4 linked regions of the Rhinolophus ferrumequinum genome follow. The protein of the gene in region 4 purifies or fractionates together with the protein of the main gene of each other region. This does not show direct contact. Links are inferred from orthologs where the notes say so. Each region holds a gene or a part of one and is shown on either strand. Other genes may lie near its edges.

Region 1 (7,381 bases), on a different chromosome or scaffold from region 4:
GGTGTGGCTGTGATGAACAACCACAAACTGAGGACTTTATTGTCTCACAGTCCTGGAGGCCAAAAGTCTGTGATCAAGGTGTCACCAGGGCCACACTGGCTCCAAAGGCTCCAGGGGAGGATACTTCTTTGTCTCTTCCAGCTTCTGGTGGCCCCAGGCATTCCTTGGTTTATGACTGTATCATTCTAACCTCTGCCTCCATCTTCTCTGTCTGCCTCAAACCTCTCTCTGTCTTTCTCTTAGAAGGACACCAGTCATTGGATTTAGGGCCTTAAATCCAGGCTGATCTCATTTAGAGATCCTTCACGGAATTACATCTGCAAAGACCCTTTTTGCAAATAAGTCACATTGACAAGTTCTGGGTGGACATCTTTTCAGGGACAGCATTCAAGATAGTACAGACTGCCCAAGAGGTTTAGGTGTCCTACGGATCAGAATTAAATCACATCAGATGAACAGTGCTCGCATTCTCTGGATGCCTCAGGGATATCTTGGTCTGGTGCTAGCACATCTTTATCACGTTGCCAGAGTGTCGGTTGCGTGTGCCTCCAGACAGAGTGACTGCTGGTATGGTTTTCAGTCACTCTCTTTGTACAAAAGATCATGCTGGTTCTTTCAGCAGCAATGTAGTCTGCATATTATGATGTAAGCAGAACAGACACATAGCAGAAGACAAAGGGTAGAACGTGAGCGCAATGCTGAATTTCACAGTGACCCTACTGATAGATGTCATTGTTCCCATTTGATGGAGGGGAAACTGAGACTCAGAGAGATACAATGATGACTCAGACCTGGTTTCAGAGAGAACACAGGAAAGCCGGAATCTGAACCCAGGTCCATCTCAATTTTCTCACAGCCTATACTATCCCAGCAAGGAAGCACACACAATTCTGGTGGTGGGCCAAATAAGGCTCCCCAGAGAGATCCACGCCAGTCCTTGGGACCTGTAAATAGCTCACATTACATCACAAGAGGGACTCTGCTGATGTGATCAAGGTTATGAACGCTAAAATGGGGAGAATGTGCTGGTTATCTGGCCGGGTCCAGTCCAATCGCAGAAGGCCTTAAAACAGAAACTAGGCAGAAGGGAAACTCGAGACTCCAAGTATGAGAACCCCGTGCCTAGTTCTGAGATGAGGGGGCCACATGCGAGGTTGAGAACTGAAGAGAAGCCTCTAGGAGCGAAGCGTGGCACAAGGTGGAGAGCCCAAAATCTGAACGAGTTTGGAAGCAGATTCTTTCCCAGAACCTCCAGAAAAGACACAGCCCAGCTGACCCCTTGATTTTAGCCTGCTGAGAACCATGTTGGACTTCTGACCTATAGGAACCGTGAGACAATAAATTTGTGTTGTCTTAACCTGCTTGTGATAAAGTTGTTAATGCAGCAACAGAAAAATTAATACAATCGTGCAAATGTTATCTCAACAAATCCTAACAGCTTCCTGAAATCTGTTTGAGGTTGTCTATATTATACAATGATGCTCCGAAGGCCAGAAGCATGGAGAGCAAGCCTTCTTTACTGCAGAGTCTACATTCCTCCCAACCTTCTGGCTGCCTCTATGAAGACATGTCACTCCCTTGCTTGGTGCTCTGATGGCCTCCAAAGCCCTGCTGTTCCCCCAAGGCCCTGCCCACCTCATTCTCAGTCCCCCGTTTCACCACCTCCCCACTTCTGTTACACAGGCCTCTTATGCCTTGACTACCCTGAGCTCATACTTGTCTCAGCACCTTTGCAGCAACTTATGGGGTTAGATGCTTCTCAAGGTTCAGTGTCAAGTTCAAATGAGTCAGAGAGGCTTGATGAGACCACTCCCATGTGAAGCAGCAACCCCTCCCTCCCAATTTCCAACTCAGCACTTTTTATCTCCCCACGCCCACACACAGTGCTCAAGTTCAAGTTGTAATTACATATTCACTCACTTCTTTACTCATTTATTCTCTTTGGAACACTAGGCGGTGAAGGCAGGTAAACACCCTGCCATGTTCACTGCTCTTAAAAATTCTCCAATGGTTCATTCTCAAAGTGACAGTAACAGCCACGTCCCTTCCTCAAAGGTCCTGCTAATGGCTCCTGCTGCCCCCTCTCCAGTCACCGGCTCCTCGCTGGCGTGTTTATTTTCTAGTTCTCAAACAGCCAAGCTCATTCCCACCATGCTCCATCACACCACCTCCCGACTTGTTTATTTACTCATTTATGTACTTGCTTAATGTCTGTCTCCCTGGCAAGGCTGAGATTCCCGCAAGAGAGCTGGGAGTTGTCTATTTTATCACAGCTTTGAACCCAGCACCAATACGCTGACTCATACAGATGAATGAATGAATGAATGTGCGAGTTTGGGGAGAAACGATCCGGCTAGTGGGGCAAGGTAACGTCGGGGAAACCATTTATCTTGAGCGTCGGTATTCTCATCTGTAAAATGAGGATAAACAGTCCCTACTTAACGGGAATTGAAGGTATAGCGGCACAATGTGGGCGCTCAACAAGTGAGAATTATTACCATTATTATTACCAAAGTGGTGGCATAAATGCCTCTTATTCAAATGCCTGCCAGCGCGCAGAGCGAGCACTCTGAGAAGTATAAACTGCTACTTCTTTGGGTGTTGTCACGGAACAAGGATTAACTCCTCACTGCTTCTGAAGATATGAGTGGGGGAGTGGGGTACGCCGCGAGGGGAAGAGAGTTTTCAAAATCAGAGCGCTACCCGCGGCCATCAGGAAGCGTCCTCCGCCCCCAGCGTCCCGCAACCCGAAGCGGCCGCACCTTCACCCGCTGCGCCTCGTTGATGCACTGCTGGTAGCTGCCGATGTAGAAGGCGTTCTTCACGTCGAACAGCTCGTCCACATCCCCTGAGCCGCCAGGGGTCGGGCCCGGGGCCGGAGGCGCCATGTCACTGTGGTCTCACTCACTCCTCTTCCTGAGGGACACGTCGGCCGGAAGCAGGGCGCCCCCGCGGGACACACTGGGAAATGTAGTTTACTTGGCCTGGAGATGAGCTAATGGAAGTCTCCGAAACGGGAGTAAAGGGGCGGAAGACGCAAGTGCGTCTTGCAGAGCATTTCGGGAATTGTAGTTTGATTCGATCCTGCGGGCCACTGGGATTCACCGAAACGGTAAGAAAAAGATCGAGGCTGGAAATGGAAGAGAAAGCTAACGAGGGTGAGACCACGCTGGAGGCGGGTCCAATCAACGGGAGAGTTTAGTGACGTCATCGGCACGCGCCGGAAGCGCGGCTCACACGGGTTCTGCGGCCGGCGGCGAGGATGGCTGGGTTTGCGGAGCTTGGACTGTCTTCGTGGCTCGTGGAACAATGTCGGCAGCTAGGTTTGAAGCAGCCCACGCCCGTGCAACTCGGCTGCATCCCCGCCATCCTGGAAGGTGAGTGTGGCCCGGTCTCCTCCCCGGGAGGCGTGCCCGCTCCTGTCGCCTCCCTTCCCTTTAACCCACGCTGGTCCTGCGAGGCGAGGGGCAGCCTCGGGCGTTTCGGGGATCCTGGGTTGAGGCACACTAGGCGGTTTTAGCGTTTAGGTTGCGCAACTGACTCGCTGTGTATCCCCGCCAAGTTATGTAGCCTCTGAACTCTCATAGTCTCAAGAGTTCGGGTGTGGGGGGGGGGCGGTGTTGGTGAATGACTAACCGATAATACTGGTAAAGTTGAGTAATTTGTACTACTGTCTTCATTTTACAAATGCAAAGTGAAGTTGTCAAGATTACTGGTAGATCCAGGACTCTGGTCCTGTGACTTCTGTTCTCACTCATCTGGCCCAACCCAGTTTTGCCATTGCAGAGATGTCCTCACAAAGCCTAGGATGTAGCAAGTTGAGGGATTAAACAAAGGTGAAAGAATCCACAGGGAGCATGAGATGCAGACTGGGGGAATTCCCCCAGATTCCCCCAAGTTCATGCTGGGGGCAGGGTTGTCAACATTAAGTGGTGGTTGGTAGCATCTTGGGTCAGATGGATGTGGGTTCTAATCCAGCCTGCTACTCATCAACTATGTTCCTGGGCAAATCTCTGAGTCTCAGTTCCACCTTCTATGAAATGGAAATGATAATGGCCTCTTTCTCCCAGAATTTATCAGTTGCCCACAATGGGAAGTTGTTAGTATGCCCGGAATGGGAGTACCCGGCACACAGTTAACTGCTCATTAAATGTTAGCTGTTGTAAACTGTGCTCAATGGAACATCGTATATACCTAAACTGTGTTGATGTCGCTTGCCCTCTGCCCAGGTCGGGACTGCCTGGGTTGTGCCAAGACCGGCAGTGGCAAGACGGCAGCATTTGTGCTGCCCATCTTACAGAAGCTGTCTGAGGATCCCTATGGCATCTTCTGCCTTGTCCTGACACCCACCAGGTGAGCCCCACCCCCCACAGGCCTCCTGGGTGAGTTAACCAGCTGTGTTATCTTGGGCAAATGCCTTTACCTCTCTGAGCTGCACTTTCCCTGTGTGCAAAATGGGGACAGAAATCATGCCTCCTCTTAGGTGTGCTACAGAATTAAACAAGGTAGCATGTGAAAATGCTGAGCACAGGGCTTGACTCAGGGCAAGAGGCAATACAGGAGCTGTCAATAGTCTTATAGCTCAAAAACCAGGCATATCTTCGGATCCTGGGCGGATAGACTCGGTGATTGACGTAGGTCCTCTCTAATGGCATTCTATAAGGCTGTGGTCTGGGAACGGGTGTGGTCAAGGAACGCTTCAGTCATGGGTGCTTAAAGGATGAGAAGCGTCTCATCCTAAAGGGACAAGTTTGGGGAAAGGTAATCTAGGCAGAGGTCTGCTGGTGCATTCATATGCAGAGGTGTGAGTGGCAGAGAACAGAAGGGGTACTGGGGCTGGGCACGTTAGAGCCAGCTTGAGAAGGGCCTTGAATGCCAGGTTAGAATTGATTCTGAGGGAGTGTGAGCAGGAGAGAGTAAGACAGGAGGCTGGGAAGTGGGGACATGGGCCGAGGAGGGACTTGGACACTGACTGGCCCCAGGGAAGGGGGCACTAATGCTCGGGGTTCAGGCTTTGGTAACTGGTGTCAAGGCCATTGCTGAGGACATGGGAGGAGGAGAAGCCAGTTTGGGTGGGACTGGTGGGGGTGGGGCCGTGGGCTGTTCTGGGACCCAGTCTGGTGAGGGAGCAGAGCCCACACAGCCCTCCAGTGCTCAGTGTCAGAGATTTTGTCTAAAGCGGACCGGGAGCTGTGCAGGGTGTATGAACAGGAGCCGGCGAGTCAGGAGGCCGCGGCGGTGGAGGTGGAAATGTGAGGCAGGCGCGGAACCCGTCTGACCCAGCCCGGCTCCTTCACACCCACAGGGAGCTGGCCTACCAGATCGCAGAGCAGTTCCGAGTCCTGGGGAAGCCTCTGGGCCTGAAGGACTGCATCATCGTTGGCGGCATGGGTACGCGGGCCCCAGGGAGGCTCTGAGTGTGGGGTCCCCGCAGCCTCGGACCACCCGCCCAGCCCCACCTCTTGCCATCTACCTGCAGACATGGTGGCCCAGGCCCTGGAGCTGTCCCGGAAACCACACGTGGTCATCGCCACGCCGGGGCGCCTGGCTGACCACCTCCGCAGCTCTAACACCTTCAGTATCAAGAAGATCCGCTTCCTGGTAAATTGCCCTGGCCACTGATTCATCCATTTGGGGAACATATGTCCCACAGGCCGTCGTAGTAGCATGTTAGGAACATAACAGAGACAGGGTCAGAGACCCATAAGAGGTGACCTGTACTAGCGAGAGTGGTTGGAAGCAGGGCGTCTCTGAGGAGGCGGCATTGGAGCTGAGACAGGTGAGGGAGCAGGGCCTGCAAAACACTGAGGGAGAGTGCTCCCAGGCCCACGGCCAAGGCTGGGAAGGAGGCCCACGGGGGAAGCAGGCCAGCCTTGGACAGCGCCCTCCTCCCCATCCCCCGGCTGCCGGTGCTGCAGGTGATGGATGAGGCTGACCGCCTGCTGGAGCAGGGCTGCACTGACTTTACAGTGGATCTGGAGGCCATCCTGGCAGCCGTGCCGGCCCGCAGGCAGACACTGCTCTTCAGTGCCACTCTTACCGACACACTCAAGGAGCTGCAGGGCCTGGCCACCAACCAGCCCTTCTTCTGGGAGGCTCAGGCCCCGTGAGTCTACAGCCACCTTTGGTGGGGGAAGGCAGGCAGCAGGAGGGGGGGGCGGGGGGGGCGTCACACCCAGTGGAAGTTATTGCCCATGGGTGGGGCAGGGGATTAGCCAAATTCATCAGAAGGGGAAACAGGCCTGCCCGTCCCCAGAGTACGCACTGTAGAACAGCTGGACCAGCGCTACTTGCTGGTGCCTGAGAAGGTCAAGGACGCCTACCTGGTCCACCTGATCCAGAACTTCCAGGATGAGCACGAGGACTGGTCCATCATCATCTTCACTAACACGTGCAAGTGAGTGAGGGTGGGCCCCCCCATTTGCCCCCCGAGCGAGGGTTGGCTCCCCCATAACCCTTCACAGAAGCCTAAGATGTGGCCTGAGGTCATGGGTGGGAGGCATGCAGCACTCCAGGGCCTGTGCTCAGACCAGAGGTTTTGGAGGATTTGCTCAAGAATGCTCACAGAGATCAAGCAGCTCACCAAGGTTACCCCTCCTAAAGGTGGCACCAGGATTTCGGGTTCCTCAGACCCGCCTTAACCTGAAGGGCTTGTGGCCTTGAGCTGTCACTACCCTTGGAACAGCCTATCCACTGTTGTCTAGGGTTGTCACTGAGGCCCAGTGCAGTGGCACCCCCACCTGGGGTCGTCCTCCCCGTGGTCCCAGGGGACTTGACAGTCCTCTGAAGCATAGAGGGAGATTTCAAGAAGCTGTAGACTGTTCTAGCATGAACCAGTAGATGGGGACGCCACACCAAGAATGTAGATGGGCACTGCCCCCTAAGAATGTATTGGCTACCAACACAGATGGGCCCTGGATGTAGGGCTAACTCTTGTTTGCTTAGGCCAGGGGAGGAATCAGAGAGAGGACGGCAGTGGACAGGACACCCTGCACCTCTGCTTGTTCTTTCCCAGCTGTGCAGGGCCACCTGCATGGGTCCCGGGCAGGGGCGGGGGCAAGAGTGCTTTTCCAGGATCCTGGTGCTGGAGGGACTGAGAGTGTGTCCTTCCTGCCAGGACCTGCCAGATCCTGTGCATGATGCTGCGGAAGTTCAACTTCCCCACTGTGGCTCTGCATTCCATGATGAAACAGGTGAGGAGACCTCCGCCTGCCAGACTTGCCGAGGCTCCTCCCAGCCTCAGGGCGTTTGCCCAGGCTCCTCCATCTGTCTGGAGCACTCTTCCTGCCGCCCCTCTCTGTCCTGGTCTGCCTTTCTCACAGTCCTCTCTTACTGGACTGTGGGAGCCCTGTGAGGGCAGGACCATCCTGGCCTCCGCCTT
Region 2 (7,621 bases), on a different chromosome or scaffold from region 4:
ACCATGCTGGCACCCTGATCTTGGACCTGTAGCCTCCAGAACTGTGAGAAAGAAATTTCTGGGGGGTGACTGATTAGCTCAGGTGGTTAGCGCGTGGTGCTAGTAACACCAAGATAGCCGGTTTGATCCCTGCATGGGCCTCTGTAAGCTGTGCCCTCCTTTAAAAAAAAAAAAAAAAAAAAAAAATTCTGTTGTTTATCGGCCACCCAGTATGTGGTATTTTGTTATAGTAGCCCGAACAGACTGAGACACCATCTTCTTCCACTCCAAAAAATTGTACTTGTTTTTCCTTTCCTAGTTAATGGTACCCTTTCCACCTAGTGACCTAAGTTAGAAGCCTGAGATAAATAATCTCACTTATTTTCCCTTACAATTCCTCTAACATCCATGCAACAAACTTACTGATTCATTTCCTTAAGCACTCATATCCATCTTTCTCTCCATTTCAAATGCTACTGCCTAAGCTCAGGCGCTGTTCCTCTCTCATATGAACTTATACAACAGTCTCCTAACTGGTATCTCCGCCTCCAGTCTTGCCCAATTCATCCAATCTTTTCTCTATACTACCACACAAGTAATCGTTATAAAAAAAATGTCAGTCTGATATCACTCCTCTTTTTAAAACCCTTTAATGGTTCCTCGTTATTTGTACAGATCCAATCTCCTGAACACTGCAAACTCCATGATCTGGCCCTTTCTCTCATCTTACACAAAACTAATTATAGTTTCTTATCCAGCTATGTCATGCTTTTTGGTCTCTCTACCTGGAATGCCCTTCCCTATTTCACTTTGGTTATCTCTCTATTGTATCACTCACTAAACTGTACACACCTATTATTTGGATATACAGTTATCTCTTCTATTAGAATGAAAGCTCCTGGAGAACAGAGGCCATTTTTTATTTATTTTTGAATTCCCAAAAAATAAAACAGTGTCTGATACACAGTAAACATTCAGTAAATGTTGCTGGATAAGTGTTCTGGATAACATTGTGAAAAGCCTGAGCTCTGTATGAGTAAGAAGTACTGTTTTTTAGACCCTTCCACAATTCCCAAACTCCATGTTCTCTGTTCTTTACTCCTAGTAATGACAGACCCGCTGTACCTTAATCTTATAGTCGTCTCCTCCAGAGACAAACAGTGGCTGCTGCTTATGGAAGTCAATGCCTCGTACTGGACCTGGGGAAAAAGGCAGGCAATATATGTTAAAGAGAGCTATGCTTCCTAATCTCTAAGGTGATTCTTATTCAGGATCTTCCAGTTCTATCCCCTCCACATTGTTTAATCCTAAAAGAATTAATGTCAAACAAGGCTTAAAGTATTCTAGAGGACAATAAATACTTGTATCTTTTTTTAATTTCCTCCTAGAAACTATTATCTTACCATCATGCTCATCAAACTTGTCAATGAGGGTACACATCCGATAGTCCCATAACTGGATGACTCCATTGTGTAAACTGGTCAGGATCCAGGGTCTTTTGGGGTGAAAACTGAGCCCTGGGGGAAAAAAGCAGAGAGTGATCCAATAAATTAAGTAAGCCTCACAAAGTCACCTCCTGTCAATTCTGATAAGAAAAAGGAACAGCTAAGTTAATCCTAGGTTCATTCATTCATTCACTGGATGCTGGGCATTGTGAATTTTATAAGGTGCTGGATTTTAAAAAAATATTTGCTATCTTCTTTTAAATATTGTTGGAATTTGTCTTAGGGTGCAGTTAAATTACTTGGAATCAGTTGATTCTTTTGACACTTGCGTTTTAAGTTTTTTTAGGGTGGGTCCACAGCAGTCTTTAGTGTAGGTCTAATTTGGCACCACTATTAATGCAATACCCTTTTGAAGTCTCTATATGCCTTGTAGTTGTAGGAGGTCTTTCCATCCTCGCTAGCAAGAACAGATTTTTAAGCTAATGAGTCTATGTCAGGCACTGTAACAAGCACTTTTCATATACTTTCCCATTTTAATTATCTTTATTAGAGAATGTTAATTATTCACATTTTACACATTAAACAGATTTAGAACTGTTAAGTCATACACCTAGCTAATGGATATTTCAGCATTCCAAAGCAAGCCCATCTGATTCCAAACGCTAAGTTCCTAACCACTTTGCAAGCTGCATCTTACTAAATATTCAAGATATATACTTTTTCCAAATCTCAGAAGACCTTATTTCTCTGCCTTTCCCACTGTAACATTCTAAGAGATTACTGCTGTGATTTCAGTCATTTGCCCTCCACCCCCAACCACTGATACTAAAGCTCTAGAATTGCCATACTTAGGAAATAAATATGCCCAGTTACCTTTGAATTTTAGATAAACCATGAACAATACCAAAAATTACTGTTAATCTGAAATTCAAATTTAACCGGGCATCCTGGCAACCTTATCAAGTTCAGACTTTACTGGGGTTACAGGCCTAAATGTCCTGTTTCCAAGTAGGAAATAAAGCCCAATGGAGGCATTGGATGTTGACCTGGTGCAGCCTCCTTAAGTGAGGTAGCCAGTGCTCATCTCCAAAAAAGCTACTGACTTGGATACAAATGGCAGAGGTCGAGACTCAATCCCCAGGGACACTCCCTAGAATACGTCATCAAAAAGCCAACAGGTCACAGGGCGTTGGGAGCAGAGGAATAAAAGTCAGGAACACAGGCCCCAGATGAGGAGAAGGGAAAGAATTGAAAACGGGCCTTAGGACCCTCCTGAGGTGTGGCGGGCTGGAGAACCGCCCGCAGGTCTAACTTCCCTCCGGTCCATCTTCCTCAGGGTTCGTTCCGAGGGCCCAATTCGGCCCACCGGTCTACCTTCTCTCTTCCCCGGTGACAGCGCCGCCCCTGACATCCAGCCCCTATGCTCCTCTACTACCTTTGACCCGTGCGCTCTTGGTCTCGAATTTGGTTAGCATCCTTCAGGCCTGCAGCTCCGAGCTCCTAATCCAAGCCCCGCCACTCCCTGAAGCCCTTCGTTTGTCTCCACGTCAGCGGCCCTCAGCAGCAGCTCCCGGAAGTTCCTCCAGACACGAACTTCCGGTCCCTGGAGCTCCGGGCCACAGAGACGGCGCCGGTGTGGGCCTAGAGAGGCCACGAACGGACAGGAGGGGCACAAAGACTTCCGCTCCGCAGAGAGACAAAATGGCCACGGCCGGGGGTGGTGCCTCTGTGGCTTACCTGGGATGTCGGGATCTTCTTTGCCTTTTGTCTTTCTGCGTCCTCCTGGCAGGTGAGGCCTCCCTCGTCCGTGAGTCTGTAAGGAGAACCCTTCGGATCGGCCCAGCCGCGAGCGCCACCGTCTATCTCCTGGTTCCTTCTGCCCTTCTGTCCCCCAACCCTGTAAATCTCTTTCTCATTCGTTCCCACGACAGAAGTTTCCCTTTTACTTGGACCCGAAGGTCTCTCCCCCGCGGCACGTCGGGTCGCCCCATTTCTTCCTCCAGGTCTTCTCCAGGACTTCCAGCCCGACTCTATCCCACTTTATCCGGATGCCTTCTTTTCCCCAGGGCCCCAGCCACCCCACCCACAATCAAAAAGGACAGATGTCATCGTTCAGCTTCCTTCCCAAAGCGGTTAGACATTTCAAGATGAAAGCAGCCTCGTTCTGTGGGTGCAGTGCAGCGCTTATTAGAACAGTAGATTCCTCATTTTCTCTGCTGTTGATTCCGCGTACTTTATTCTCCGTACTTTTCCTCAGTTTGTGTTATCAGGATATGGGGTACTCTTAACTGTCTAGACCATGAAATAATGATTCAAGGAACTTTAAGCATTTATAATGTATATAAGTGTTTGCTTATACGCATTTATTTTCTGGTATATGGCTTTCTAGTTTGTCAAGCCCTAAAATTCAAACATGCCTGTATATAACGGTGACCATACCTTCCCCAAGTTCACATAGTTTTTAAAGATCCCCAAAGGAGAAACTATAGCCGCCCCACACTGGGCACACACAAGTGATGTACTGATGTTAGATTAACTGACAGGTGTGGCAAAGATTTTCTCCCAATTCTGTTCAGACTCCTGGAAAAAAGTCTCAGAAAGATTTTTTAAATTGTAATTTATAATCTTAGATTGGAACCCTTTTATTAACTAATTTGTAATACACATACAGATAGAAAAGTGGAAGTGTGGTCACCGATGCAACCAGAAGCTGGTACATCTGAGGTTAAATGCCTTTCCTCTGACAAAAGAAGTTTTTTCTTTTAGCTTCACTGTCAGTTGCTCTATGTAGAATTTGTAATAACCCTCTGAGGCACATAGGTGGTTGCATTTAGGTGTTCCAGTAATGTGCCCAAGAAGTGAGAAGAATGGACATTAGTCCCATTTTAGAAAGTATGATATGCCCAAGCCATCCAGTGAGCTAAAGACAAGATGGAGGCTAGTACTATCCTAGTTTTTACTAACACTTTTTATCTTCTGATCAGGTTTGTGCGGGGGAAACTCAGTGGAGAGGAAGATCTACATTCCCTTAAATAAAACAGCTCCCTGTGTCCGTCTGCTCAATGCCACCCATCAGATTGGCTGCCATTGTGAGTTGAGGTTGGGATTTTTGCCTGTGGCCATTGATGGTTCAGTCTTTGCCCTCGATATAAATATCCAAGTCCTGCTTGGGAGTCTCAGCATACAGATTAGGCTATGTGGGTGGGAGCTGGTAGAGAACCATTTGTCAAACCAGGCAAGATAGTTATTAAAAGCTAACATTTAGCAAATGCTGCATACTAAGCTTCTTACATGTGCATCTCATTTAATCTTCACAACAACCCCATGGAGTAGGCTCTATTATCTCATTTTACAAATGATGAAACTGAGTGGGACTTAAAGAAGTTCAGTAACTTTTCCAGGATCATCCTGCTATTAAGGATGAAGCTAGGGTTTGAGCCCTGGTGGTCCAGATTCCAAGCCAGGACTCTTAACCACCTAGTGGGTCAAGTGGAAAACTATACTGTTTTCTTAGGAGAAAAAAGTCTCATATTCTATGGAATTCAGTCATTACCTGAACTCTAAATGATCTTTTTGCAACCAAAATGGGCTTCTTGAAGGCAGTGAACTATTTGAAGAGAAGGCATTGATAAAGCCAAATAGTTGCAAGAGGAATTTGTAAAGCATTTGGATTTGTCTTTATGCTTTGTAAATGTGTTCCAAAACAGGGTACCATGACAACATGCCTATAAAACTATGAAAGGGGAAAAAAGTTGTGATCTGAAGTCTGAATCCCAGTTCCTCTTCTGCTTAACCTGCTATCTTCAAATTTTGTTCTTCTGTGGATAGTAGCTCTGTCTGAATGTAGTTTTGCAGGTAAGCAGGAAACAGAATCAGATCTTGGCTCCTTCATCAAATTGGTCACCTCTGAATTTCAGTTTACTCGTATAAAGACAATATACCTACACAAAGCTGAAAGTCAGACAACCTTTAATAAATGTATATTGATGATGCTGAGTAAATAATGTGGTCTCAGCAGTACTCTGTGACTTTCCTGAAACCTAATTTTATAGGAGAAAACGGGGACACAGAAGTGACGGACTTGCTCAAGGTGGCAGTTACTACTTTTGTACCTATCCTTCCTCTTATGTTGTCCCATATGTTTGCTACAGGAAGTACTGGGAGTAGGATAATTGGTTTAAGCAGTTCCAAATAACATTTCTGTTGTACTTAGTTCTTAAACTGGACTTAGTTCTTAAACTGTGGGCTGAGTCAGACTGCTGATCTTGCTAGAACCCCACTTTAGTGCAAGGGCTAGGACCCCGTCCTCCTGGAGCTAGCCTCCAAGATACCCCTTTGGGAATGAGTCATTCTGCTGCATGTTCTTAGAGCAGCCCTGTTGGAAGCAAAGCAGTAGCTTCTAGAGATACAGCCAAGTGCCAATACAGAGAAACAAGTGGGGAGGGGCTGGACTCTGGCCACTTCCTCATTAAGATCTTGTTTCCTTTTCAACCTACTCATTTCTAAGTCTTACTTCATCATGTATGTCTGTCCTGAGCAGGCTACGCTCTCTTTAACTAGAGTTGCTACCATGATAAAAATGAAGGAGAAAGACCCAGGTTTGATTTTCTGATTAGAATGCCCTGTTTCTGTTAGACCCTATTAAAGTGCTCGAAGAGTTTATATATGTAGGTTTCTTTTCATTCCTTTCTTTCCTTTTTGAATTTGTCCCTACAGTATAAGATAGATAGGGGTGGAAAATCTTCTCCTCATTGAAGGTTTATATAAAGTAAGCAAATTACTTAAGACAACACAGTCACCCACTGGAACCCAGATTAGAATCCAGGTTTTTTTCAGTGTCATAACTTGTCTTCTTCTTGTCCTCCTTGGAGCTGAAGTTACATATTTTTTATTTGCCAGACTAGCTTTTCCTTTTCCCATGTTTTAAATACTATGGCAAAGACTGCTGTCTTTTATTTTACTTAGAACTGCCATTGATAGGTAGGTCTTTTTTTTTTTTTTAATGAGACTTTATTTGAACCAAACTGATGACATATGCGAGGGAGCAAGATCTCAAATGCTCCCAGGTAGATCTTTACTAAAGTTATTCCAGATTCTGATATTCCTCTGTATTTTATTATCGTCACTATCAACATGAACTTAAGTATTTGCTATGTGTAAGACATAGTTGAATGTTGTGGACCTGCTTTCATATCTAGATTTTACCAGATCCCATGGGAGCAAAAGACTACCTGGCTGGCAGTCTGAAAGTGCTTATAGTTTTTGTCTCATGGAAGTTACAGGTATTTCAGTGCCTTGGTCTAGAGCCATAATTTGCATGCCTGGCTGTGTATAATAAAGAACCACAAGTGGCGTGTTTTGCAAATACACATGCCTGGGCCTCACCTTTAGAGATTTTAATTTAGTAGATCTAAGGTAAAGCCCAAGTATCTGTATTTTTAAAAACTCCAAAGTGATTCTGATATACAGCCAGAGTTGAGAACTGCTCTAAAACAATTTATGAATAACACATCCAGTTTTGAGTGGGAAGAAGACTTGCGGGGAGACCCTAAGATGTCTCTACATGGATCACTAGGGACTTGAGCTGCATTGCTACATAGAACTCAGGGTCATCTATCCTCTAATGCAGTGCTTCCCAATCTTTGTAATGTGATGAGATACATAGAAAATGTTATTTGTATGGCATTCTGGCACATATAGAAATCGATGATATTTGTAGAGCCTCCTGGGGTAATAGGTGAGTCTGCTCCAGCCTAGGGTCCCCAGAAATGAAGGGAATCAATATCAGCACATCTCTAAATGATTCAAGGCCCATCAATTGGGAAGCTCTGTTCTAGAGACCTTAGTGTTCTTGATGAACTTTACCTAAAACTGGCCAAAAGCAAGTAAAGTTATTCCCAAATAGGGCAAAGGAATAGAGATCCAGGGAGGCTACTGAGGCCAACGGAGTCTGCACATATGTTTTCACAAAGGAAGATTCAGTGCTAGAACAAGCTAGATATTTAGAGCCTGCCATTTCTTGGAGAAAATACAGGTTTGAACCCTTTGGTGTCTGCTGTCATAGAATCTTGCATATATGACTTATGAGGTTGAGGGAAGAGGGCAGGAAAGTGAAGATCACACAGCCTTTCTAATCTTTAATGAACAAGACCTCATGAGTAGACTTCTTGGCTCTTTTGTCTTCTCTTCCCTTCTGG
Region 3 (7,569 bases), on a different chromosome or scaffold from region 4:
ACCATATATTGTGACGCATTTTTCTTTGAAGAGGGGTCTATATAATCATTTTCTAGAAAGTATAGTTATCTGTACTAATGTTTTTATATAAAGAATATAGTGTCTTCGTGGTTTTAAAGACAACTGTGAAATAAAATTGTTTCACCTGCTGGAGTATTGAGTTTTTGTTGTTGTTTTTTTAAGTAGCCTCAACTATATAAATAGTCTGGGATTACAACTGGTCATTTGCCATGTTTGTCAAATTGCCTTATTTTTAGTGATGGGGAAAAATAATAACTCTTTATCTATCATAGCCTTATACTAGCTCCCCAGTGTATGGACTGTCTGCATGAGAATTCATGGAGATTTGGTTCAGAATACAAATTTCAGGGTTCAGCTTTGGAGATTCTGATAAAACCTAAGAAACCACCACTTCAAGCAATAGTAGTAGCAAGATTATTAACATGTAAATTGTTTTTCTTTCCGACCAGCAGATGTCAGCAATGATAGCTCTGCTCTCAGTGTAGGGAACTTTTGCAGAAACAACAAAAGGGAAATTTTAATCTGAAACCATCATTTCCTCTTATCCTGCTCAACCAAACTCCAGCATAATCTTGAAGCTGCCTGCCATTATTCCTGTGAGCTGTGTACCGAGATACTGCAGAACAATTTTTATCTTAGACCATACAAAATGAAATTAAAGGAAATCTGATTGAAAAAACAAAAGCAATAAACCAAAATTTTGCTGCTAAGAAGCCTTAGAAAAGTTATGAATATAATGAATATATTCATATCTTTCTGGAGAGGAGCAGTTCATTTGTAGATCGGGAACTTGGATTTTAGACCTAATTCTGCTAATTAGTTACTATTGTCTTTAGGCAAGTTATACTTAGCCTTATTTTAAGGAAGTCCTTCAGAGAATTATTCTGAGTGTCAAATGGGACAATTTATGTGAAAACACCTTGTATACTCAAAATTTCATAAAATGTTCATTTAATTTTTTTTCTAGATTGCTCAAAACTTGAAAAGCATTCTTAGGTTCCTAGGTTTAAATCTCTAACTTCTTGAGGGGAGAGTGATAAGAGAAACTGGCAACATTGTTGAGAGAAAAACCTGACTAAATACAGGAATATGTGAAATGTTAGTCTCCACTTTGGAGTAGCCTCAAGAGTCTGCCATTTGAACTTGGGACAAGGCCACAAGTACCACGTGGCCATTTAACTGACAATGACGTTGCATCAAGCACACGTAACTTTCACAAACAAAATAAAACTGAATGAGGGAGCCCTCCCGCCTGCCTTCGGACTCAATGGGGGTATAGTCTGGTAGAGACAACATAAGAGAGAAATTTCGTAATCGGCTCTTTCCTCAGGCAGGTCTCTTCCCCTGTGCCTATCATGGTGTGAGCCTTTGTCTTTGTTAAGTGATTCTATTTAAAGATTTTGTGTGTGCATGTATAATTTTTATACACTGTTCCCTAAATGTAAACCAAAGTTGGGTGGCACTTGGCTGAAAAAAAAAAACTGATCCATATTGTACTTTGGGAGCAATTTAGTAATTTTTTCAACATTTGATTTTAGTCTTCTACACTGACTTTAGAACTTAAAATTTTCCTCACCCCAATAAGATTCAACCCCATTGTACAGAGTTCATTGTGATGCCTTTTTATGTCAGTTTATCTAGTTGTTTATACTCAATTATTCCATTTAGTCTGTTAATTGTAAACAAAATTCCTAATGTCCTTTCATAAAACATCACTTTTGTTGCTACGCAGCAGCCTATCTGTCTCCTTGTACCTGCCCCTAAAGAAAGGAGAGTCTGTGAGACGGATCCTTTCAGAGACTTTGCTTCACCTTTGTGTTTGCACCTTATGTCTCCCTGTTTGGCCCCAGAAAGATGGCTGGTCAGCCAATGACAAGTAAGATTCCCCATGGTGGGGGGGAACAACTCAAGCCAGGCGCAGTAAAGTGGGGACTTGTGGGGTCGATAAGAGGTGGGCACAGCCCCCCCACCTTCCCGCAGCTAAGGAGAGCCTCTTCCTTTGTGGCTGCATTCCTTCCCACAACCTGCAGGGGAAGAGATTCAATGATGTGCTCTCCATCTATTCATATGCATAAAGGTTTTGTCCCTTGGGGAAGGATGTACATCCTGAGACTTAAGGGTTCCGCTGCCTGCTGGCAAGGGTGATTGGCTTGAATCAGTTTCCTAGTATGATGTGTAGGATTCACAGATCTTGAGATTGACAAACTTTATCCTCACCTAACTAATAAAAGCTAATGCGTAGGCCCGATTTGGGGCCCAGTTCTTGAGACTGGAGCCCCGTGGCCCTGTTTACACTCTTACTGGCTACCGTCTTTTCTTAAACCTGCGCCATCCTCCTCACTCCCCACAACCCTCGTTGCGCGGGATGCGACAACTTTGATATAAAGATAATTCACCTGGAATTTATTAAGTATGTGTGCATCTTTGAAGTACTGGTATGGTTTAAAAACAAGAGGCAGTAAAGTAGGTGACAGATTCAGATTCTGGTCCCAGCTTTTTCAGTGTTTGACTATTTTGCAGTTTTGGTTAAGTCCCTTTTCTCTAGACCTTGATTTCCCAGACATGTAAGTTTTTATGAATCTTGGTATATGACAAAGTCTTTGCTCTCAAATAATGTGTAATTTAAAAAGCATTCAAAATGATGTAATTACATGCTAGAGTAAAAATAAGTCTCAAAACAAAAGTGCACGTTTTAATAAGGAAGAATTAGACTACATAAAGTTCTGATGCCTGTTTAACAAGCTCTGTATTTAAGAATATACAATAGTATATACACTGCCTCTGACAATTTTAAAATCTCCCTAAATGAGATTTTAAAAAACATTTTCTTTCCTTTTTTCATATTTAACAGTTTACTTAATAACTTGGTCACGATAAGCCTCAAATTATTCCATAACACAATGGAGCCTTCAGGACAACTGAAGGGGATACGGTTAGTCCTACACCATTCACCATGGCCCTAAACTGCTGAGCTTTCTTATTGCTAAGTCTAGTTTTTATGCTCTCTTGGGCTTCATTTCATGCCAACAGATTGTCATTTCTTGGTAAGTGGGCTTGGAAACCAGATAACTGCAGTTGTAAAAAATCTCATGTTAAAAATGAATACACAAAAATGGGACAACCTGTTGTACAGACTGCTTGGGTTGATCTCAAGGGAATTATGCTAAGTGAAAAAGCCAATCTCAAAAGGTTACATTGTATAATTCATTTATATTACATCTTGAAATTACAAAATTATAGAATAGAGAACAGGTTAGTAATTGCCAGGTGTTATGGAGAGAAGTGGCTGTGACTATAAAATGTTAGGAGTGATACTTGTAATGGAATTGTACCTTAACTGGTGGTGATTACTGGAATCTAAACACGGTAACTACACACATGAGTGCATGTTAACTGGTAAAATGTGACAAGTGAATGTATCAATGTCGATTTCCTGGATTTGATATTGTACTATGATTATACAAGATGTTACCACTGAAAGAAACTAGGTGAAAAATATATGGGATTTCTGTATGTCACTCTACAATTATCTCAAACAGTTTTAAATGAATGCACAGGATTTGAGGAGCACTCAAAGTGTTATAAACACATGGCCTTTGTGATATATTTTGGGTGATCAAGGAATTTTTTTGCCTGATGGCTCCAAAAACAAGTCTCAAAATATCTGGATTTTAGATGGATGCTCTATTTGTGTTCTAGCTCCCTAATCGAGGTGAACCTGTTACTAAGGGCAGGTCCTGTCAGACCCCTTTGTATTCACAATATTTTTCTTAAGGCTTCAATTTCTTTTATTAATAAGTGGCCGAAACCTTTCGTGGGGGAGTCTGGTATGGAACCTTAAATGGGCAAAACCGAAGGTGCCATGGCGAATTGTCACTGTAAAAATTACGTCTTTTGGAGATAGTAAAATCCTTTAAAACAGTGACTGTCGATCTCCCTTTATGCATAAAAAAATTCAAATTTACTGGATGTTCAGAATGGATCGGGAAAGGGACCGTTACTAAAACAAGCCACGTCATACAGCGTGACTTTGGTGTTCAAGCAACTCCAGCCTAACTGCAGAGGCAGTGATTCAAATGACTGCAGATGTTAAGAACTGAAATAGATCTTCATATAATCTAGTGTCCCTTATTAGAAAAACCGAAGTTACTAACTCAAGTAGTATTCAGTTACTTTCCCAGTTTATTAGTGGGTGGACGGACTTCTAGCTCCCGATCTTGTGCTCTTTTTCCATTGGATCAAACAGTACTGTAAAATGTTTCCTCTCTCCCCAAGCACTTCCTCCCCTTGACTGTTTTAATACCTGGAATAGGAAACAATTTCTAAATAGCATTCAAGTTACCACAGCGCTTAATTCAAGCTTGCAGGGAAAACATTAAATATGTATTTCCAATCTTTTCTGCGGCCTAAACCAACCATGGACAAGAGAAAAAAAAAGAAAGAAACTTACAAGACATACTTGCAGCGCGCAACCGCAGAACGGAGAAAGCATGTCCTCTCTGCGTTGCCGTAGGTGCTAGACGGCTGCAGCCTCGGTCGTCTCCCCACCCCTTCCACGTCAGCCAAGGACTCCGCGGAGCCTCCGCTACTGCTGGGGGTTGGAGCAGGAATAGACGGTGTCGCGGTTGCCCCTGTTGCTGCCCCTCGGAGCCAGGTAGCGGGCCACGAACCCCCAACCCCAAAAGCGTGGTGGGCTGAGCAGAGTTGGAGGTACTGGCTCTCTAGCGGGAAGATGCGGAAGGGCAGAGACTAGGCCGCTCGCGTCCAGGCCTGGCGAAGTGGAACGAGGGGTCTGGGAAGCTCTGGGCCGGACGCCCGGTCCCGGCCTGTATAGTGGCCATTGGTCTTCTCCCTCCCAGGCCTCCGGGGCTCGCCGTTCCAGGCTGGGACTTGCTTTGCAGGGGAAAAGGGACAGGAAAGGGGCGTGGAGGTACAGCGCACCGATCCACGTACGCAGAGGCGAGTCCCACCGATGAACACGATAAAACACTTCAAGGTTTTAGCAGGTTAACCGTGCACAGGGTCTCTTAACTTGAGCAGTTCAGGTTGGGTGTTAAGTCACTTCTGTAATATGGTGGGGTGGGGCTGGGGGACTGTCACTGTATTGTGGCCCTTCATTCTGCAGTGCAGCATTCTAAACCCTGGGCGGGGTTGTGGAGTAGGAGCTAATATACCTTAGGTCAAAACTGATAAATGTTTTTTATTACATTAGGCTTTATTTTTATGGGACACGATATAGGTTAACCCTCCCCTTCTGCAACTTCAATATTTAGAAGCCAAACTGAATCAACTTTATAGACAGTAAGGATCACTCAAGTTACTGCTTGTGTTTTTGGTGTTTTGTTTTTGGTTTTTACTTGTAATGATATCCTTGTATTTATTTTCCTAGATTTCCTGGCATCTGTGATCCTTTAATCTTGTATCAAGGGTTGATTATAACCAGGAACCATGACGGCTGCTGAGAATGTGTGCTATACGTTAATTAACGTGCCAATGGATTCAGAACCACCATCTGAAATTAGCTTAAAAAATGACCTAGGTAAACTTTGATCATATTTGAAAAAGAAAATGAAAATTAAAAGCTTATTTGTATTTCAGGTTCTTGTATAATTAGAAATGCTTAATTTGTGCCTAAATATTTTCTTCTAATATCTATCTCTTCAGTAAACCTTTTGCCTTACTAAAAATGAAAACTTGTTACCTTTAGACTTGCAGTATTGGTTTTTGGAAACAAAACATCTCAGTTTAGCCTAGTAAAACTAAAGAAATGTGATAGTTTAATTGTTAGACATTGCTAAAAATAACATAATGGTTTGTGTAGTTTAATAACATTCTGCTTAAAAGCAGTTGACCGTTCTCTATAGGAGTACATAACAGGTTGAGAGAATGTGTATTTGAATATCTTAGTTTCTTTGTGTATTTAATTCATATTACTTAGCTTGTAAAACCAAAAGAACTTTGTTCTTTGTGTTCACCACCTGTTGAACAAATGAAATCAACCTTGGAATACACATGCATTTTCCAGGGTTAAGCTTTTCATTTTAAAGCATTATGCGAAGGAGAAAAGGAGTATATTTCTGAATTTTAAAAGTGTATGTCTCCTTTTTCTGAATGATTCTGTCAAAAAAAATGTTAAGTAATGAACGTTCCAAAATAATGATTCTCTTTTAATTGAACTACTAACTTAAACTGATAACTACTGGTTAAAACAGAGTAGAGTGAAAATTATGCTTCAAATCTTGAAAGTATCTTTAAGAAGATAGTTTGCAGTTTGAAAGGAGACAGTTCTTACTTGTATATTCCCCCCTCTTAATCAGTAATAATGGAATACCTCCTGATTTTAGATTACTTAATATTAGGTTTCTACTGAGGTCTAGTTTTAGAGAAGGAAGAAAGAAAACCCTCTTTTATGGCATTTAAACTGATACCCTTATGTACAAAATATATGTACATACAAAATATATGTATATACATATATATACTCATACGTATGTTGTGTATATACATATTCACATAAGATAGTAGAATGGAATGCAAATTAATGAATAGACTTTCTATTTTTTTTCTTATAATTTAAAAGTTTTCATTTTTAGACCCCTGCAAAATACTTAAGGTTACAGCTGGGAAGGTAAAGAACAAAACCTGTTCTTAATTATAACAATAGCCTTTTCTTAATTGCAGCTGCCTTTACTACTCTCCCCCAGCCAATAAATAAATAAGTAGTCTAAAATTTGTGACTTTATCTCAAAAGAGTTGAGATGAGAAACTGTTTAGAAGTAATTTCCAGTTTAAGTAACGAATACTTTTTTGTTTGGTGAAATAGTGAGTTGCTTTACCTACACTTTTCTTTACATTTAATCGTTGGAATGAGCTCTAATGACTATATACGTTCCCCGGAGAGTAGGAAGTACTTAGTGTATTTTGGTGCACTGAAGTGATATTTGAAATTTTCCATATTTTTGGTAGTAGTCATAAAGGAACAGAAGATATAGATAGAAACATCCTTCACCTCAGTTTGAATTGTTGAAATAAATAGAAATTGGGTTTGGAGGGGCTTGAAATAAAAATGGTGTAGATTTTTTTACAAGTTTGCTAGTAAACTTTTAAAACTTAACCTTTAGTTACAAGTGATGTTCTAGCCTGCTAAACTTTTAGGATTTGCTAATTTGTGAAAAGTAGACAAAACTGGAACAAAAGAAGCCATCAGCATTATAGTGATATAATTTTATACCTTTTGACTCTCCTTTACACTATCAGATAAAGTAGGAAAATTCTTTTTTTTTTTTTTTAATTCAGAAAGGCAACTTTGGGACAAAGAGAGGAAAACCTGTTTAGGCTCAGTAAATACAACTTTAGCCACATAGAACTTTGACTAGTCTGTCTTATTTTCATGGTTATTGCTCTCAGCTGCTGTCATCTCTCCTGATGCTTTTCGTCATCCTCACAGATTTAAAAAACTGAAAGTTTGCCCAGATTGATACTCAGTTCATCCTTTCACGTTTATTTCTTGATTTGATGTAGTATACATCATATTTTTTTTTCATATGT
Region 4 (7,926 bases):
CACAGTACTCCCACTGTGTACCAATGAACACCCACTGCATTTTCTTTTCTTCTCCCCTAGAATCTGAGCATGTACTTCTATTAACCCTCTACCCTTGGATCTACTAAATGAGCTTTCTTTGTTAAGGTTTTCCACCAACAATGATTTCAAGAGTGAAGGGAAGTATTCAATGGTCTGCACTTTGAGGCAACAGAAAAAGATGTACCCTCAGCTCACCTTTGCTCCAGTTAGTAAAAGACATATGAGGAAAGATGGTAAGCTCCTCTCTTTCAAAGCAATGGCTTACAGGACTGAGATATGGACAGGAGGAACAACCTATGGGGACAGGAGATAAGGGCAAATTGACATCTCTCGTGGAGGTTCTGGAGACAATTTTTCCTTGTAGCATGGAAGCTAAGAACTGATAGAGGCTCAAGGGTTGCTAAGCTTTTTAAATCCTTTTTAAATCCCTATTTAAATCCTCAAATTCAAAAAAGCTGTAGCATAGTGTTTCCAAACTATATCATCTACCACTTTAATAGGTTTGGCCATATCGCTGTGCTACTTGCCCTATTATTTACTTAATGGTTTTCTTTAAAAGGATATTTTTCTTGTCCTAATTAATATTATTACCATGGGTTTGATATACGAATTACATGGTTTTTTTTTAATGACACATATTTAATCAAATTCATAATAATTAAAATTTAAAATGTGTATCTATGTAGTGCCTAAAACTATTAGTGGTATGCATATCATACTTTGAGGAAAACTGTTCTAGAAGGGTCAGAGGAGTCTCAGAGGTACACAAGTCTCTCTGGGGCTGAGGCAGGACGTGGAGTGGAAGGGATTTGGGATAAGTTTGTATGGAAGAGGACACAACAGGAATTCTCCTTACAAATTATCATTCATTTAAGAACATTTATGGGCCACTACTAAGTGTTGGATACTTATCAAGCACGAGTAATAGTACATTCAACGTGTGAGACAGCTGGCTCACAAGCTCCTTGCACATTATATGAATAAGGGCTCGGGTTTTCTCCACTAGGCAGTTGCGACCCACTGAAGGATTTCAGAGCACTCAGTAGACAGAGCACTCAGTATTAGAAGTATAAGTATGGGTCCCTAGACTTCACTAGCTTATAGCTTCAAGATGATACCCCTTTCTCCTACGGGGCTTCTCTCTTCATGCAATTTCTGAATCTCCCTGAAGTACGCTTACCTGTTCCACATGCTAGTGATTGCCTAATACCTTTGCCAGCCATCCTGAGTCTAGTCATGGTTCCAGAGGTGTGTGGTCATATTGTGCCATCCCTTAACTGGCTTCTTCAGGCTTCTCTGCTCCTCTTCTATTTGCTTCCCCACTCCGTAGCCAACTATTGCCTCTCTTAACTCCCCATGTATAGCTCAAACCAAGCTGTGATATTAAACAACACTTCATAGATGTGGAAAGAAGTTAAAGACCTTATTTTAAAAGGGCTACTTTTAGGCTCAGGCTCAAACCTGCCTCAGTTCCTTCATACTTCTCAGTACATTAATCATTCTTGGGAATCTTCTGGCTTATCTACACTGTTTCTGCCTGGGTTCCCAATACCATTGGCCCAAGGAAAGGGAAGAGAATCGCTCCTTCCCCCAAACCTGTTTATTTTCAGCCCCAGAATAAATAAGTAGGAACATCTACAGACAGTATCCAACTTAAGGTGGTTTGACTAGGGTTTCCAGGCGGGAATTCCTGCTGGTTCTCAGGAACTTTCTCGCTTTCCCATTCCCGAATCCTGAGATATAAGTTGTTTTCTCTTCTCCACAATGAATCGTTTCCACAAAGTGACAGCCGATACTACCAACCACCTAGGTTTGAGGAGCTGATTTTCCTGATTTCCTGACCAACCTTTCTTGGGATTTGGGAACAGGAAAGTGAAAAAAATTCCTGAGAATGGACGGGAATTCCCATCTGGAAACCCGAGGTTTGACATAATTTTTTGACTTTACAATGGTTGTGAAAGTGATACGCATTCAGTGGAAACTAGCTAAGCTGTGATGATTGATTGGTAGGTTAGGTTATTAAATGCATTTTCAACTTATAATATTTTCAACTTACAACGGGTTTATTGGGATGTAACCCCACTGTAAGTAGAGGAGCATCTGTATTTCCTTTATGGAAAACTCTACCTGGAAAGTAAGGTGTGAGCTTTATAAGTCAGATAAGGCAAATGTAAAACAAGGTGTGATCAAATAATACAATGAATGTTTAAATAAAGACATTTTTATTACTGTAAAAGACACATTGTCATTAACCTCCCTCAAAATACTCCCCCTCGCTTCAAACAAACTTATCATTCTTGCCACTTACTGAAGCAGTTCTGGAAGTCCTCTTTCGTGAGTGTCTTAGGTTGCACTGTCGTGGCTGCCTCAATGTCCTCAATCAATTCAAAACGTTTACCTTTCATGGCCATTTTGGCTTTGGAGGAGAGCTGGAAATTGCATAGTGCCAGATCTGGTGAATAAGGTGGATGAGGATACACCACAATGTTGTTATTTGACAGAAATTGCTGTACTAGAAGTGATGTGTGACATGGAACCTTTCCGCTGCGATCACAAAATACAGGAATGATGCTGCCGAGTGCCATCCAATGAAAAGGCAGGACTCTTCAATACAGTAAGTAGTGCGAGGACCCTTAGAAACAGTGTGTGACGTTTCAACTTGTTCGGTATAGTCAGTTGGGTGTGAGCTACAGTTGAGAGAGTGTGTGTTTTAAAATGTGGCATAAATCATCCTCCATCATGACAGAGCTCCGTGTCACACATCGCTTCTGATATACGGCAATTTCTGTTAAATAAAAATATTACGGTGTGTCATCGTCCACCTTCTTCACTGGATCTGGTACTGTGCAACTTCTGGCTCTTTCTCAAAGTCAAAATGATTCAGGACATCAAGGCAGCCACGACAGCGCAACTTAAAGACACTCACAAAAGAGGACTTTCAGAGCTGTTTCAGAAAGTGGCAAGAACGATGGGATAGTGTGTTTCAAGTAAGGGGGAGTATTTTGAGGGGGATTAATGGCAATGTGCCTTTCACTGTAATATTTTTTCTTATTTAAACATTCATTGTATTGTTTGATCACACCTCATGGTTAATAGTACATTTAGTAAAGTTGGAGTTGAATCTTAAATGCTACCATATGCAGGATATTAATAGTTCAGCTTAAATCTATATTGGGGGAAAAATTTCACTAGACTCTAGAATGTAATCTAGATCAGAATTTCTCTAATTTTTCAAGGGCATGATTCTATTAAGGATATACACAATTTACTTTTCTAAACAGAATGTTTAATATCTCAGTCTGCAGCATTTATAGATTTATGGTGACTTTACAGTTTCCCTCAAGGAAAATGAGCAGATACCGACTTTAGTTATATATCTTAGAGGCCCATTAAGTGCTTTTCCTAAACAAGGACAATCTACTGTGGATTTAAAATAGTATCTCCTCTTCAAGCAAAAGAGAAAAGCTTCAAGCAAAAGCTCTGTGGCTAGCAACGCTCCTTCCCATAATAATGTTTCATGTTTATCAGGCATCCAAATAAAGAAAGATTACATAGAAAACGGTTTGGATGGGGGCCCTGGATTAGGAGGCTGTCCAAGAGACCAATGATAGGACGTGAATTAAGGTGTTAGCAGTAGGAATAAGGAAACGGATTCAAGGGATATTTACAAGGCGTAATACATCAAAAAAGTGGGAGGGATGGAAGCAAGAGGAGCCCGCAATGGTAGATTCCAAGAACATGCAGCTTCCTGTCTTGGAAGAGAATCTGGACAAAGTGATGATACTGAAGCCAAAAGTAGTTTCTTAGTTACACCCTCAGGCGGGAGACTGAAAACCAACAGACACTTTAGGAAAAGGCTAAGAGGGATGTGAATATATAATAGACGCCAACAACACACCTTAACTTAGTGAGTTATGGTTACTGTGTTTTCACAAAAATAAGACCGGGTCTTATATTAATGTTTGCTCCAAAAGATGCATTAGGGCTTATGTTCAGGTGATGTCCTCCTGAAAAATCATGCTAGGGCTTATTTTCCGGTTAGGTCTTATTTTCAGGGAAACACGTAGAGTCAATATGGTTGCAGATGGAGTCCTTTGAAAGGGGTGGGATTAAACAAGGAACATTCTAAACCAGCAATGTTTTAAGCTGGGTTTTGATGAAGGGAAGGACTCCAGAACTACAAAGAAGGTTGGGAACAGTAGTCCAAAATCTATCCCCGTGCTAAGAGTAAAGACCAGCTCTCTCCTCCCTCTAAGTGGGTCATTTTCATGCCCCACATTAAGAGTCCTTCTGGACCCTCTGGAAATCCACAATCACCGAGGTGCCCTGTGCTTTGTTGCAGTTTCCAAGAAATCAGAAAGTGACACGCTGACTTCCAAGACATATTGGGAACCACTAACCCTCTCCTCGCTCCTCAAAGAGAAGCCCACCAGAACCGCGCCAGGGGAGCGCGCCTTCCGCAATGGAAGGGCCCAGCAGTGGATTATACAGAATGCCACTGTCATTAAGTAAAACATCTTTGGGCCTCTCGCCTTGGTCTCGAGAGACTGAGAGGCCTGCAGAAGTCGCCATCCAGGGCGTGTCAACCAAATAAAATCGCGTTCTGCCCGCTCCGGGCCTGGGCTGCCAGGTCGCTGGCTGGGTGGGCAGGGGCGAGCCCCGGGTCCCGACCTGTCGCCCTCGGGGCTGCAACGCGGGCCCAGGGACCCAGCGCCTGGACCCGCCTCCGCCGGCTGGGGCAGGACGAGAGGGCGTGGCCACGTCCCCTGGGGACCTGAGCGGCCGCGACAGCCGGGGAGGGCGGGCCTTCTCCCCGAGTGACGGGACGGAGGCCCAACCGGCGCCAGAGCACGGGGCCGGTCTTCCTGCAGCCTCTTCCGCTTGCCGGCTGCGGCGCCTGGGACGGTTGCGGTGGGTCTGGGCGCTGGGAAGTCGTCCAAGATGATTAAAAAATTCGACAAGAAGGACGAGGAGTCTGGTACGCGCTGGGAGTCTGACGCCCACCCTCCGCCGCGGGGGTCCCTTCCCCCGCTCGCCCGCCGCCACCTGCTCTCGGGGCCAGCGGACCGGGGGGCGTGGGCGCCCGTGTGCCTGGGGGCCGGTTCCAGCCGGGGGCCTGCCCCTAGCCCCTCCCCCGGGCGCCGGAGCCTCCCCTCGGGTCGCGCGCTCCAGTCCCGACGCCCACGCGCCGCTTCGGGCTGCTCGGCGGCCCCGCCCCCTCCCCCTCCCCCTCCGCCTCCCCCACCTTTGGCGCAGCCCCTCCAAGCCGCCTCCGCTCGGGGTGGGCTGCTTGCAGAGGCGGCGGGCCCATGGCTGTTGGCGGCCAGAATGGGTGTGCGCGTGTAAGAGGCGAGGGATGCTGGTGGTGGTAGGCCCAGAGTGGGTCTGAGATCCACGGGACATCCTGTGTGTATATGTACTTTGAGGTGCCTTGCACCTTACAGTCGTCCTGGGGACCTTTACACTGTCTGCTTCCCCGGGGGCAGAAGTGTCCCATGGTACACAGATCATTTAATGCGCAGGCATCCAGAAGTGAGTTGCGTCTTGATAACTGTGGTACAGAGCAAATGGGGGCGATGCCAAGCCACTTCAGAAACAAACTCAGTGTCTGATAGATGCTGTCACCAAGTGTGGTAGAGGGTTGGGTTAGTAAAACCTTCATGGCCCCTTCCAACTTTAAGTTTATATGAGTCTCTGCTAAACTCTTTCCTGCCTCGCAGTAAATGTTGGAAACACAAAATCACGCGTGCCTTTAGGGAAATCGAAAGGGCCCTACGACAATCTCATTAATCTTAGTTGTGTGGACATGACTGATATCTGTAACATTCATATAAAAAGAGGACAGAAGAAGACACTCATTTGGGGCAGGGTTCCTGCAAAAGTACAAGATCTTACAGGAAAGCAATGACAGAACCAGTACCAGAATCAAAATGATTGTATTCAATTTATGTGCATATGAGTAATGATTATCACTGTAACATCCCAATGCTCACCTCAGGTGCGATATCGCGAGCATTCGCTACCCTTCTGTAGAAAATAAGTTTGTGTAGGATTACAGTTATTAAAGATTTTTTTGTTTGTTTTATAGGTAGTGGTTCCAATCCTTTTCGGCATCTGGAGAAGAGTGCTGTGTTACAGGAGGTATGGCTTAGAAGTGTATTGTGTTCCTTCTTTTCTATTCCATTTTAGAATGGTGGGCACAGACAGAGCCTCTGGAATGCTGAGATCCAAAATAAGGAGTGTAACTGAGTTCAGAGAATACAGACTTGAGGGAAAAGCAAGAGGGGTTGCTTGTCAGAGGAGAGACAGTCTAGAGTTTATAGAAATGCAAAAACATGCAGACTCTGCCACATGTTGAGAAGTATAGATAAAATGCCAGAAGAGGTGTTTAGTGTATGGTTATTGAAGAAGGTTACAGACACTAAACTCATTGTATTAAAATGATGTAGATAAATATTGTGATTCTCACTTAACATATAAAGCCTACAAAGTTGAAGTAGTAGACCTAAAGGAATGAGTTAGAGAGTATAGAATGGGAAATCAGGCTACATTTAATTATCATATACCATAATAAATTGAAAACTATAGGCAGCTAACATTGTTTGGAGATAGTGATTAAAATACATAATGGTCTTTATTAAAGTTGATTTTCTGTAAACTGTGATAGAAAAAGTAGAAAATATACTATACATAACAATGGTTTTTGTTTCCATAGGCTCGTCTGTTCAATGAAACGCCCATCAATCCGAGAAGATGTTTACATATTCTTACAAAGATTCTCTATTTACTGAACCAGGTAAATTATTTTGATTTTCTTGAGATTTGTGTCTTGGAATAAAAATACATACTATGCAGTAAAGCATTTTTTGGAGAGTATAATTATTTGATTTTCAAAACATCACTTAATTAAAAAATCTATAGTGTTTGATTGACATAATATTACCATATAAAACTTCTTGAGGATAAGGACTGTGGCATATACTTCTTTTTTATGCATGAGGTACTAAACCACTAAGCACATAGTAGAGTCTCAACATGATTTGAATTTCACAAATATTAGTTAATGTTAAAACACATTATTTAGAGTTTGTTCAGAGGTCTTTATGTCCCTCCAAAAAGATAGTGCAAAACCTTAGATAAATTCTAGATAGATATTTTACCCTTTTTGGGGGGTGGAGGGGGTATATGTTTTATAACTTTGCTTTTAATATTCAGATTTTATATCTATTATCCCTACTCCACCATTACTAGTAGCAGTATGATTCTGGGTTTAACCATTTAGTGCCTTAATGTCCTTTTCTATAAATGGGGATTATGATAAAAGATGCTTTATAAAGTTGTAATGATTAAATGAGGTAATAAACATTAAGCATTGAGTATAGTCCTGGATACATAGTAAACATTCAGGAATAGTTTTCATTCTGTATTCAGCAAGTATTTATTACATGCTTCCTGTGTCCTATGCACTGTTTTAGACACTGGGGATATAACAGACAAAATCAACAAAAATATTTATTCTAATGAAACAGATTCTATTTGCCATGGTTATTAATTTTATTTTTTCTTGTTTGTTTTTTTTTTTTGTTCAGACTTAAACATCTCATGAATGTCTAGGGCCTTAGAAAATGTGATTTTGTTTCTTAGACACACACACACACACACACACACACAGAGTTTACATATGGTGCTAAGAAGACAATGTTTCCCATTTGAATTCCATGAGAATATTTTATCTTTACTATGTTTCTTGACTGAAGACCTCATTCAGAGACAAAATAAAGTTGTGTAGTTTGCAAATGGTGATTGAGCAACAAGTATGTACTTTTAAATAAAATGTATCTATTCACAAACATCGTATCCCTCTGTGGTAGCATATTAGAAACATTTAAGGCACAGTTTGATTTC

What was found.
Region 1: the proteins of COPG2 (region 4) and COPE purify together in Homo sapiens (affinity purification with mass spectrometry; 5 studies listed by BioGRID and IntAct, with this or other methods). This does not show direct contact. The link is inferred for Rhinolophus ferrumequinum from reciprocal best matches to the Homo sapiens genes COPG2 and COPE.
Region 2: the proteins of COPG2 (region 4) and COPA fractionate together in Homo sapiens (co-fractionation; 4 studies listed by BioGRID and IntAct, with this or other methods). This does not show direct contact. The link is inferred for Rhinolophus ferrumequinum from reciprocal best matches to the Homo sapiens genes COPG2 and COPA.
Region 3: the proteins of COPG2 (region 4) and COPB1 purify together in Homo sapiens (affinity purification with western blotting; 4 studies listed by BioGRID and IntAct, with this or other methods). This does not show direct contact. The link is inferred for Rhinolophus ferrumequinum from reciprocal best matches to the Homo sapiens genes COPG2 and COPB1.

What each region holds. Positions count from the first base shown.
Region 1 is NC_046301.1:51,517,211-51,524,591, forward strand, and holds the start of COPE (coatomer subunit epsilon), read right to left. Parts: upstream 3,049-7,381; 5' UTR 2,889-3,048; coding exon 2,763-2,888; intron 1-2,762. Other genes in the region: probable ATP-dependent RNA helicase DDX49, read left to right, coding at 3,263-3,377, 4,230-4,353, 5,306-5,391, 5,480-5,601, 5,919-6,106, 6,257-6,397, 7,118-7,193. UniProt on the Homo sapiens protein: The coatomer is a cytosolic protein complex that binds to dilysine motifs and reversibly associates with Golgi non-clathrin-coated vesicles, which further mediate biosynthetic protein transport from the ER, via the Golgi up to the trans Golgi network.
Region 2 is NC_046305.1:28,213,176-28,220,796, reverse strand, and holds the start of COPA (coatomer subunit alpha), read right to left. Parts: upstream 3,016-7,621; 5' UTR 2,900-3,015; coding exon 2,860-2,899; intron 1,497-2,859; coding exon 1,383-1,496; intron 1,179-1,382; coding exon 1,105-1,178; intron 1-1,104. Other genes in the region: NCSTN (nicastrin), read left to right, coding at 3,126-3,213, 4,409-4,513. UniProt on the Homo sapiens protein: The coatomer is a cytosolic protein complex that binds to dilysine motifs and reversibly associates with Golgi non-clathrin-coated vesicles, which further mediate biosynthetic protein transport from the ER, via the Golgi up to the trans Golgi network.
Region 3 is NC_046294.1:38,767,167-38,774,735, forward strand, and holds the start of COPB1 (coatomer subunit beta), read left to right. Parts: upstream 1-4,550; 5' UTR 4,551-4,675; intron 4,676-4,960; exon of another isoform or gene 4,961-4,980; intron 4,981-5,304; exon of another isoform or gene 5,305-5,322; intron 5,323-5,410; 5' UTR 5,411-5,469; coding exon 5,470-5,560; intron 5,561-7,569. UniProt on the Homo sapiens protein: The coatomer is a cytosolic protein complex that binds to dilysine motifs and reversibly associates with Golgi non-clathrin-coated vesicles, which further mediate biosynthetic protein transport from the ER, via the Golgi up to the trans Golgi network.
Region 4 is NC_046309.1:16,018,924-16,026,849, forward strand, and holds the start of COPG2 (coatomer subunit gamma-2), read left to right. Parts: upstream 1-4,873; 5' UTR 4,874-4,962; coding exon 4,963-4,999; intron 5,000-6,109; coding exon 6,110-6,162; intron 6,163-6,736; coding exon 6,737-6,817; intron 6,818-7,926. Other genes in the region: TSGA13 (testis-specific gene 13 protein), read left to right, coding at 127-254, 4,364-4,533. UniProt on the Homo sapiens protein: The coatomer is a cytosolic protein complex that binds to dilysine motifs and reversibly associates with Golgi non-clathrin-coated vesicles, which further mediate biosynthetic protein transport from the ER, via the Golgi up to the trans Golgi network.